Coturnix japonica: one gene and its partners. The protein of the gene in region 1 interacts with the protein of each later gene in a pairwise test. Links are inferred from orthologs where the notes say so. Each region holds a gene or a part of one and is shown in the gene's direction. Other genes may lie near its edges.

Region 1 (3,040 bases):
AAAGCTCCTGTGGGTTGCAGGATCCAGCCTACCCAAGCTCACGTCTCACAATCTCAGCCTCTGAGGTGTCCACTGGCAGCTGCTTTGCTCCTGAAGGGAGAGGGAAACCAGATTCACCTCACTTTTTGTGGCTTTGTTTGTGTTGGGCTGGGCAGGGCGGTGGCTGGTGAGTGCTAAGCTGAGCCACTGGGCGTGCAAGGCAGCAGGAAGGGCCCTGTGGGATTTGTCCCATGGATCACTAAATCTTGCTGCATCCCTTGGCTGGTTTCAGGTAATCTGCAGTCTTCTGTTGTAGATTGTAGCCCTGTTATATAGCTGCATAGAACTGTCCTTTCTAGAACAATAAAAAGCTTTGAATGGAGAGATTATTCCCAGTCCCAGCTGTTGCAGGTAGGGTGAACAAGAGGTCTATGCTCCCCATACTGTGGTCTACGGAGGGCACAGACTTTCTTCTCAGGAGTGCTGCAGTCTGGCTGGGAGCAGTCTGACAGCTTGTGTGTGAACACCCACATGGCTTTGTTGTGCAATGTCCCAGCTATCGTGTGGAGGAGCCAGTTGCCTTGGCAGAGCTGCAGAAGAAAGAATGGGATCCTATTGTTGCCTGGGCTGAGAAAAGGTGAGAGTTTAAAGCTGTTTCTAAAGGCCCATAGCTGTAGTGCTCGTGACTCAGAGCTGCAAGATCCACAAGCTTTTCTAAGGGGCCATGTGATCATGTCAGGTACAACGTGGCAATCGGATCCTCTACCAGCATCATGGGACCAAACATCCCAGCCAGCACCAGGGACACCTTCATCAGCCACCTGGCCTCCTACAACATGTGGGCTCTGCAAGGTGAGAGGCTGGGCTGCAGGAGCCCTCTGTGTGGGCTGCACAAGGGCAGGAGAGCTCCTCTCCATGGGAGAGGGGAGAGACTGTAACGTTTTTCCCCCCCTGCTGATATGCTGAGATGATCAGAGCATTGAGGTCATTGCAGTGATGGTGGTCAGGAGAGCACTATTGTGCCGTTAATTGCATGTCTGGCTGTTAGGAGCCCAGATGGGAGTGGGGAGGCATCACTGTGATCTGCCTGAGGGGGGACCACAGCCTGATTGTCCTTTCCAAGCATGGGAGGATGCTGCTGTAATGCTGTGGAAAACGACCATGAATATTGTTTGTTTTGGATTTTTCCCTTCCAGGTATAGAATATGTAATCACCCAGCTGAAATCTCTGATTCTGTCCATGGGCCTGATTGACAGGCACATTACAGTAGAGAAAGCCGTGCTTCTGTCTCGGCTGGAGGAAGAATACCAGGTAAATTATGTTACAGAGCAACCCCATAATTCAAATAGCAATAATCTCAGCATGACAAATGCACCCCCCACCACAAATAACTGGCAGGGGAAGTGCCTGCTATTACAGGAGAGGTTCCACTCCACCAGTCCGGAGCACGCTGCTGTAGAGCAACATGATAGATGCAACAGCCCAGGGTGCTCTTGGGGCTGCCAGTTTTGTTTTGCAGAACCCAGGTGGCTGCTTTTCTCCCTCTCTAATCTGAAGTGCAAAGCCATGGATGGCTTCTCTTGCTGTGGGTTTTCCAGGCTGGAGGCCTTGCTGGACACCAAACTATTATTAAATTGTTTCCTCTGAGAGCAAAAGCTGAAATCTGGCCTGGTGTGAAGCTCTCCCTGACCTAAAATGGCTGAAACTGATGAGAGTATTTTCATCCTCCCTTTAAGGGGTTTTTGCCTCAGAGCTCAGTACAGAGGAATCATGTCCTTCCACCGTATTCATCCAGAGATCTCCCTACCCTAGTAGTGTGCAGTCAGCACAGCTCCTGGAGGGCTGCCTGTGTTTCACAGACATGAGAAAGGAGGCTGAGTTGCCTAGCAGCTCTGAGTGTAATCCACTTCTGAACTGACTTGTGTTCCTCCTCCAGATTCAGCGGTGGGGCAATGTGGAGTGGGCCCATGACTATGATCTGTGTGAGCTGCGTGCTCGTGCAGCAGCTGGGACTCTCTTTGTTCATCTCTGCTCAGAGAGCTCAACTGTCAAACACAAGCTGTTGCAGGACTAAGGCTGCAGGACTGGGTGGAGGAGGAAGATGCCCTGCTGTGAATTGCTGCCGTGACCTGGAGAGGGTAACAACCATCCTGCCACCACAGCTTGTCTGGGATCAGGCTTGTGCTGAGGAACTGCAGCTTTGTGGGCAGCTCCTTGCTGCAGTGCAGCGCCAGCAGTTTTGAGCCCACGAGGAGGAAAGGTCAAGGTGAGCTCCCTCTGCATATTCAAGGAAGCAGCGCTGTCCATTACCAGTGTCTGTAATTCATCAGAGGAGCTCCCTTGAAAGAAACAGCTTCCTGGGCAGGGCACGGCACAGACACACCTAGCATATGCCACATGTCTTCATAGCTGCCAGCTCCTGACACACACTTGTTATGGAAATCTGAAAACAGACTCCGTTGCATCTGTTCTTCATCCCTCAGTGTGCCTGTATGTAACACCAGGGTCTCTCTGTTTGATTAAAGGCACGCCTCTTCAAGATACTGAAAGCTAATGCTGCTGAGTATTTCTTTGTTTTAATTGTCAAACCATGGTGTAGATCCTGAGCTGCTCGGCTCTACGCAGGTGTGGGAATGGCTGAAGGCAGAAAGTCGTGGAGCAGAGCTGAGCAGACACTAGAAGGCAGATAGATTAGCTCTCTCTGTGTGTCTGTGTGAGTCTCTCTGTACGAGGTGTCCTGTCCCAGCAGCCAAGGAGCAGCAGGGAGCTGACTGTGCAGTGTTGGAACAAGCAGGGAGGGGGAAACCTCCCACAGCCATTTCCAAAAGCATAAGGCACTTGGAGCTAAATCTGTACATCAGGCAGCACCAGCTGAAGGGCTTTCACGAGACCAGGTCTCTCCCCAGAGTGCATATGCAGCCACCCTTTCATTTAACCTTCCCACCTTTCTCCTTGCTGCTTGCCTCTAGCAGTACCGCCCTGGCCAGCATCATTCCTCAGAAGCTGCCCACAAGTGAGTGCAGCAGCTGCTGTCACTGAGCAAGGAGGGGAATTAATGAC
Region 2 (4,179 bases), on another chromosome or scaffold:
TCCCGAGCCCTTGTGCTACTTGTCCTGCTGTGGCAGACATGGCAATAGTCAGACCAAGAGCTCTTTTTGCTCTGGTTACTGGGGTCTGTTGGTTATCTGTGCTGTTCTGTGTTTGTGGGGAGGAGCCTTCAATCACACAACCAAACACTGTTTCCTTTTGTCACTAAAGTCATGAGATCAGGCAGTGCGCAGCTGCTCCAACATATGAGGGCACAGTGTGGGCTCTCTTGTGACTCCTCGATTCCAACACTGCCAGCAGCCTGAAGTTCCTCGGGCATAATCCAGTTTGGTTTTTATTTCTTGTACATACTAAAGAGCAACCAAGTACAATAAAAATAATAATAACCACCAGCATCCAGCTCTTCATTGTAGTAAATAGCAAAGTGTGGGGAAATAGGGAAGGATTAGGGGTTTAAAAGTACTGGTTTTCATACAGTGCTTCTAACCACACGAGTATTTTGTTTCTCAAAACTGCTGCAATGGGCTGCAGACTATAAAATGCTTGATTTGTTGTTGGCTTGAAAGCAGTGCCAGCAAAGCAGACAGGTCTCAAACACGAGGTGGTTTGGGTGAGGTGTCACCATTTGTTCCAAACATGCTTCTTGTTCTAACTGCTGGTTGATCTGTAGCAGCTGAAGTCTCCTTTTGTTTAATTGAAGGTTTTTTTTTTTTTTTTTATTCTGAATGCATCTTGCATCTGCTTTGGCTTTTCTCCCCCTTAGAGCAAGCAAGTTTATACCCAGATCTTTATTGCCTTCAGATATTTCAGACTATAATTAGGTTCCTCTTGCCCTCACCCCCCTTCCAGGCTCCCTTGTTTTCAAGGCTGAACATGTTAAGCTCGAGAGGCAGTTGCTGCTATCTCAGCCTGTGTTTGTTTCCACCCTCTGGACTCTCAATGACGTATGTCATTTTTCACACTAGGTTTTGGGTTTCACGAGCACCTTTCCTCTTATGCATGGTTTTTCCCACCTCCCCTTTTTCTCTGATTCGTTAATTTAGTTTTGACCACAAAATGGAAAGCCTGGGGTGCGTTTTTGTGCTAAGGCTTGACTTACTTACTACTTGTGGGGAGTAAACTCTTTGAAAGGGCTGACAATAGCAGGACACAGGGAAATGGTTTTAAGTTAAAACAGGGAAGATTTAGGTTGGATGTTAGGGGGAAGTTCTTCACTAGTAGAGTGGTTAGGCCCTGGAACAGGCTGCCCAGGGAGGTTGTGGATGCCCCGTCCTTGGAGGTGTTCAAGACCAGGTTGGACGGTGCCCTGGGCAACCTGATCTAGTAAATGTGTATGTTTGGTGGCTATGCCAGGCAGGGGGGTTGGAACTACATGATCCTTGAGGTCCCTTCCAACCCGGGTCATTCTGTGATTCTGTGATTCTGTGACTTAAGGTGATAGACTTGTGAGCAAACATGAGAAATTCACACGCATCTCATTAATAAGAGTCAGATTTTTTATCCCGAGAGAATGCCCACAAGTATTATGATAAAAGCAGCCTCTTTCTTGGTCCCTGTATCCACGTGCCTCAGCGCACTCAGTAAATCTGCGGTGATTGAATGTAACCTTTATTGCATGTAGCCCAAGAGTTAGCTCATGCCATTTCGCAGCCGCCGCGGCCTGAATGGCGATGACACATGCGTTACAAGGCAGGCATGTTTTAGCAGGGCACAGCTGCAGGCTGAAGTTCTAATAAAAAGCTGATTCAGGGCTCACGCGGCGGCGTTTGGGGTTTTCTCGCCGGGATTTTGGTGTTTTTTCACCGTTGTTAAGCGTTCGGCCAGGAATAGAAACTGCCTCTTTAAGAAGCCTCCGCGTAGGTAGCAGGAGCAGCCTGCAGAATGCAGGGGAAGCTTAGCTTTGCTGCGAAGCCCGAGTGTAACCTAACTAGCTGGGGGATATGCAACTGCTGATTGACAGCAGGACCAGCATTATGCAAATACTGCCAGAGCTGGGGGCTCTGTTAGGGAGCTCTCTACACACGCTGCGCTACGTGCTGCGCTCGCTTCTCCTCCTGCCCGGTTTAACAGTCAATAAACGGCACCAAACAATTTGTTGCTTTTCGGGGACGTGGTGGCGTGTAAAAATCTCGAGTGCGGTTTCAGTTTTGAGATACGTGTGAGAGAGCCGGAGCTATGTGTCAGAGCTTGTTACTCAAGCTAAATTAGGTAATTTTTAGCTGGGTAATGTGCTAATCTTTAAACCTTTATGTTTTTAAATCCTGCGTGCGTCTGGTCTCTTCATACAAAAGTGTATTTTGCTTGTTTCTTCTCGTCTTCTTCAGTCTGAAGCCTTATGTAGGTCAGGCTTGGCTTAAGCAGATTTCCTGAACCTGCGTCAGCTTAAGCTGAAGGAATTTTAATAAACCCTCCCTTGTAGGCGTGGGCCTAAATGAGACTAGCCTAGTTAAGCCTGATCTTTTTCTGTTTGTGAAAAAGAGCTGAGCAGAGCTAGGGACTGCATGGTGGCTTCGGGAGCTGCTTCCTTAATTCAGAGCTAACAATGGTCGGGAAGGCCAGATCTTCTAATTTCACCTTATCTGAAAAGCTCGATTTGCTAAAACTCGTGAAGCCTTACGTTAAAATTCTCGAAGAACACACCAATAAGCATTCCGTAATAGTGGAAAAAAACAAGTGCTGGGATATCATAGCCGATAACTACAATGCCATCGGAGTAGATCGCCCGCCTCGCACCGCACAGGGCCTGCGCACGCTGTACAAGAGGCTCAAAGAATATGCCAAGCAGGAGCTATTGCAGCAAAAGGAGACTCATTCAGACTGTAAAAGCAGCATTTCCGAGCCAACCAAGAAAGTTGTGGAGATGATTCCACAGATTTCCAAGATGTGTATAAGAGACAGGAGCGGTGTACAAAGGTGAGAGAATTCTTTTTATTTCGTTGCTGAATGAAAATGATGGCGCCTCCTATCTGCCGTGTAACGCTTTTCGTGTGCTCGGTGTCCTAAAGGAAGTGTTTGCGAGGGAAAATCCCAAAGCTGGGAACAATGACAAAATCATATTGCTTTTGTTTGATGACCAGCTTTATGGTGACTTAGCACTGCGTTTGTCTCTCAGCTCTTTCAAAGCCTGTTTCAGTCTTTGTCACACTCCGGAAAGTGAGGGTTAAGGGAGAATCAAAGAGAAATAGTAGCTCCAACCTCTACCCCTCCCCTACTTTTTAATAGGCAGATTATTCAAACACTGGCAAAGTGATGGCTATTCTCCTCCATTTAAGGCAATACTGCAGTCATTTTGCAACATATGCAACTGTTACCGGTTTATGTAAGATTTTTGATAAAGTTAGTTTGCAGAGCTACGAAACCTTGCTCAGAGAGCTTGTTTTGCCTCTCGTTTGCTCTGATGTGCATATTGTTTGAACTGATACCAACCCTGTACCCCCCGCACCACAGTGACTTTGGGAGTGCAGATGTGCTTTAAAAATGTTACTTTCCTTGCCTTGATGGGAATTCTCTGAAACTGGAGCAGAGCTAATTGCTGTCTAAACTCCAAGCAGTTCTGTCCTGTGTGCTGGGCAGCTTAAATGCACACGAGGAGGAACTGAGAGATACAGCAGTAGAAGTTTTCTTTTTTGTAGGGCTTTTTTTTTCTTCCTTCCTTTCTTTTTTTCTTTTACTGCTCAGTAAAGTGAGGCACACTGTCTAGATCTGAAGCCAGACATAATACAGGCAGGCAGCATACAGGCTTTCTCACACAGCTGGCGAATGCCCCTCGTATCTGACTTGCAGCACTCTGCTGATTCTGTATTGGTCCTTGAGGGATCCAAAAATGCCTGGGTCAGGTTCTGGTTCCTCCAGATACACAAAGTGAGCTTGGCAGGAGGGATAAAAGCCAAATAAATCCCCTCAAATCTTGAGAAATCTCCGATTTTTATTTTTATTGTTTTCTCCTTTTCACAAACGGATTAATGGGAAGTGAACTTCCCATATTTCAATCAGATATACAGATAGTTGGTGCAGCAGCTGAATGCTCTAAGAAAAACTGGCATGAGTACACAGGACAAATTCGATTCATGGTGCCACCGGTTGAACTGAATGGTAACAATTGCCTAAATCCCAACATAGCAGATGCTCTAAAAATATGCTGCTGTGGGTCCTTGGCGTAAAGGAGTCTGAAGCAACTGGGCTGCTCTGCTGCTCCTGGTGAATGCCCCTGGAGGAACAGT
Region 3 (3,650 bases), on another chromosome or scaffold:
TACTGCCCCAAGGTTCCGCAGTGCAGTGCCCCTTTAGGGCGTTCTGTGGGGGCTGTCCTCTCACCTTCCTGCTCCTTCCTCAAAGAGCTCGTACCCTGGACAGCCAGCCAGGATGGGGGATGCCAAATACATCAACTTGAATAGGAGAGAATGTTACATCAGGGTGAAGAAAGTCCTATCGTGGCAGCTTTGCTGACTATTTTTGGACTGGAACTGTTAGAGTAATATTAAGTTGCACTGCAAACTAAATGCGTAGGCTAATTCTCTTTCTCCTGTTGAAAGCAAAGTCTGTTAAGTAGCCAGTATTGCTGCATATCTGCTCGCTCTAACGGCCACAATGGAAATCTCTTCTGAAGGGGTTCTCTGGAACTTGTCTTCATGTGATGCGGTGAAGATGACAATCATTAGAGACGCTCTGTCAACGCTGACAAACACTGTGATAGTGCCGCACTCCGGGTGGAACAGTGCCTCCTTTGATGATGATCATAAAATCAAATTTCAGACCTCCCTGGTTCTGCGCAACACGACGGGATGCCTGAGGTAACCTCCTGTTCTGCAGCACCCCACGGGCCCAGCAGCTCCTTCTTACCCTTAATCCTTAAGGCCAAATTGCTGCTGCCTTCCATTTAGTTCTACCATTCAGACAGCTTTCCTATTCATTGGGGTTCTTTTTCTGCATTAGGGATAGGGAGCTAGGAGATATGGTTTAGGGGTTTTCTGTAGGTATGGTGGAGGGGGGACGGTTGGACTAGATGATCTTAAAGGTCCTTTCCAACATTGTGATTCTGTGATTCTGTTTTGTTTGTTAAAACAAAATAATGGAAAGTAATCTGCAAACTGTCCAATAAATGGTGTCTGTCTGTGGGTGGGTGTGCTGCATTCATTTCTCATTTGGACTGTTTAGGAATCTCAGCTCTGCGGGGGAAGAAGCCCGGAAGCAGATGAGGTCCTGCGAAGGGCTGGTTGATTCTCTGCTCTATGTGATCCACACCTGTGTGAACACATCGGATTATGACAGCAAGGTGTGTGCAGTTTCATCTGAGGGGTTCTAGTGCTAACTCGTGTGTCTGATCTGATCTCTTGGGGTTTGTGCTTTAGGATACCTGTTCATCTAATGCTTAATTTGTTTGGTGTTTTCATCACAACACGAGAAAGCAACAAATGACACGACGTCTTTACTGGTTTCAGACAGTGGAGAACTGTGTGTGCACCCTGAGAAATCTTTCCTACCGCTTGGAGCTGGAGGTGCCTCAGGCGCGTCTGCTGGGCATCAATGAGCTGGACGACTTGTTGGGGAAGGAGTCACCCAGCAAAGACTCGGAGCCGAGCTGCTGGGGGAAAAAGAAGAAGAAGAAAAAAAAAACTTCCCAGGAGGACCAGGTCTGCCTTTATTTTTATTACAAATGTTTAAAATGTTTAACTAACAGTGAATATAACTTGAAGAAGAACACCATGAGTTGAATGGAAATACAGAGCTTTGTTGCATTTACAAATACGTATCCTTTTCTCAGTGGGATGGAGTTGGCCCTATCCCAGGATTTTCCAAGTCTCCTAAGGGGGTAGAAATGCTGTGGCACCCGTCGGTGGTGAAGCCGTACCTAACGCTTCTCGCAGAAAGCTCCAACCCAGCCACTCTGGAGGGCTCTGCAGGATCTCTCCAGAATCTTTCTGCAGGCAACTGGAAGGTACCCGACTTTCCTCCTCTTTCTCTCTAGAGCGCGGCATTAGTGCTTCTGTGCTATGAAATGTTATTTCTGCAGTGAAAGGCGATGTCAAACATGGTAGGCAGGGAGAGCGAGCTGGAAACTGTATAGTCAAAATGTACATGTAATAGGCAGTAATCACACTTCATAACATCAGGACCGCAGTATGTAGTATATTGGTTACGAGCATTAAAAAGCTGCATTTGCTCTGTCATTTTCATTTCCATATATTGCTGCTAATGGCTCTCACACACAATGTGTTACAACAGCATTAGGTGAGAATACTTCATTAATGGTATGTATTTGTCACAGGGGGATGGAGAAAATGTTAATTGCTTTCTTTGCTGTAGGAAACCAGATGAGGATGCTTCGTTTTATGCCCCTTTCAAAGTTGACCCTTTTTAAGAAAAGTACTTCTCCTTCTTCAATGATTTGTCACCTATTGGGATGTTTTGTCTGCTAGAACACTTCTTAAAATACTGTGCCATACCGGGAATGGGTGACAAAGAGCAGAGTCAGCCCTTTTTAGTAATGATAAAAGGAACCATTGAACTGTTAACATATCATCTTTGTAAAGATGTCCTCAAAATACTTAGGAATTATCATCTAATGAGAGACAGTTTCAGTCAGAATGCCCCAGTATATCTGCAAGTAACTCGGAGCTCTATTACAGTTTGCAGCGTACATTCGAGCTGCTGTAAGGAAAGAGAAAGGACTGCCGATCCTTGTGGAACTCCTGAGGATGGATAACGATAGAGTCGTTTCGTCTGTGGCAACTGCCTTAAGGAACATGGCGCTGGATGTTCGGAACAAGGAGCTGATTGGTGAGTGCAGAACTGTGAGGAATAACAAATCAGTCTGACCTAATACTGAAAGAGTACAACGTGAGATTCTACCAATAGACACAGCACACTCGATTTTACTGCAGCACATCACTTGTGCCCCAGAAATGAATTTTTTTGACAACAGGAGCTTTTCAGAGTCATTCTGTTGTTCTGGTTTGCCTTCAGCCGTCGTGCATGCCAGTCTTGTCACAGTGGGCTGAAGTGACCTCAGATGAACTGGACAGGAAACTGTCAGCACAAAATATGATGGATAACACAACTCTGCTTCCTTGGAGCTAATAAATGGTCGCCTTCTCAGAGGGCTTCAGGGGCCCTTGTGTACACTAACAGAAGGTGACAGCCCTGCTGCCAGCACACCAGTAAATTCTTTACCATTGGTCAGTGCAGAGCTCTTGGCTTTCAGCGATCGATACTCTGGGGTAAAAGGGTTATTTGACAGAACAGGCACTGTAACAAATAGCAGTGTAAGATGGTGTGTGGAAATGGGTGTGTTTCACTTCCCACTGTGTTTGAAAGGAATTGCTTTTGTGCACAGAATTTATTTTTGAGTAAAATTTTTCCCCAGACACGTTGTGCAAATAGATGGCAAAGGGCTCTGAGGAAGGCTTATTCATCAGGCACCATGACAGACAGATACAAGTCTGCAGCAAAATCAATTAGTAATCAATTAATTGTCAACATGACCTAAACAGTAAAAGAAAAAAAACACTTCAGCTTTACTTGATTTCCTTTGATTGCAGCGCGATTATTCCTCTGTCAGTCAGTAATTGAAACCGAAGGAGATGAGATCTGATCTCTCGTGGGTGACAAACACGGTGAAACGTAAGTTCTGACGTGGTTCTGTTGGTGGGTTGCTACAGGTAAATACGCCATGCGAGATCTGGTGAATCGACTGCCAGGAGGCAATGGCCCAAGCATATTGTCTGATGAGACCGTGGCTGCAATCTGCTGCGCACTGCATGAGGTCACCAGCAAGAACATGGAGAATGCCAAAGCCCTCGCTGACACGGGGGGAATAGAAAAGCTGGTGAACATAACCAAAGGAAGAGGTGACAGGCAAGTGGGCAACAAATTACATATGTCATCTGCGTGTTTCATTCCA

The links.
Region 2: the proteins of ATPAF2 (region 1) and FSBP interact in binary tests that used the Homo sapiens proteins (3 or more experiments, as listed by UniProt). The two-hybrid records come from large-scale screens. The link is inferred for Coturnix japonica from reciprocal best matches to the Homo sapiens genes ATPAF2 and FSBP.
Region 3: the proteins of ATPAF2 (region 1) and PKP4 interact in binary tests that used the Homo sapiens proteins (3 or more experiments, as listed by UniProt). The two-hybrid records come from large-scale screens. The link is inferred for Coturnix japonica from reciprocal best matches to the Homo sapiens genes ATPAF2 and PKP4.

Annotation. Positions count from the first base shown.
Region 1 is NC_029529.1:5,009,383-5,012,422, reverse strand, and holds the end of ATPAF2 (ATP synthase mitochondrial F1 complex assembly factor 2), read left to right. Parts: intron 1-535; coding exon 536-616; intron 617-718; coding exon 719-831; intron 832-1,175; coding exon 1,176-1,291; intron 1,292-1,916; coding exon 1,917-2,054; 3' UTR 2,055-2,534; downstream 2,535-3,040. UniProt on the Homo sapiens protein: Plays a role in the assembly of the F1 component of the mitochondrial ATP synthase (ATPase).
Region 2 is NC_029517.1:114,239,764-114,243,942, reverse strand, and holds the start of FSBP (fibrinogen silencer-binding protein), read left to right. Parts: upstream 1-1,355; 5' UTR 1,356-2,501; coding exon 2,502-2,872; intron 2,873-4,179. UniProt on the Homo sapiens protein: Transcriptional repressor that down-regulates the expression of the fibrinogen gamma chain. Represses transcription of GSK3B gene promoter via its interaction with APBA1.
Region 3 is NC_029522.1:33,225,595-33,229,244, forward strand, and holds part of PKP4 (plakophilin-4), read left to right. Parts: intron 1-356; coding exon 357-540; intron 541-904; coding exon 905-1,022; intron 1,023-1,188; coding exon 1,189-1,380; intron 1,381-1,511; coding exon 1,512-1,685; intron 1,686-2,376; coding exon 2,377-2,527; intron 2,528-3,408; coding exon 3,409-3,604; intron 3,605-3,650. UniProt on the Homo sapiens protein: Plays a role as a regulator of Rho activity during cytokinesis. May play a role in junctional plaques.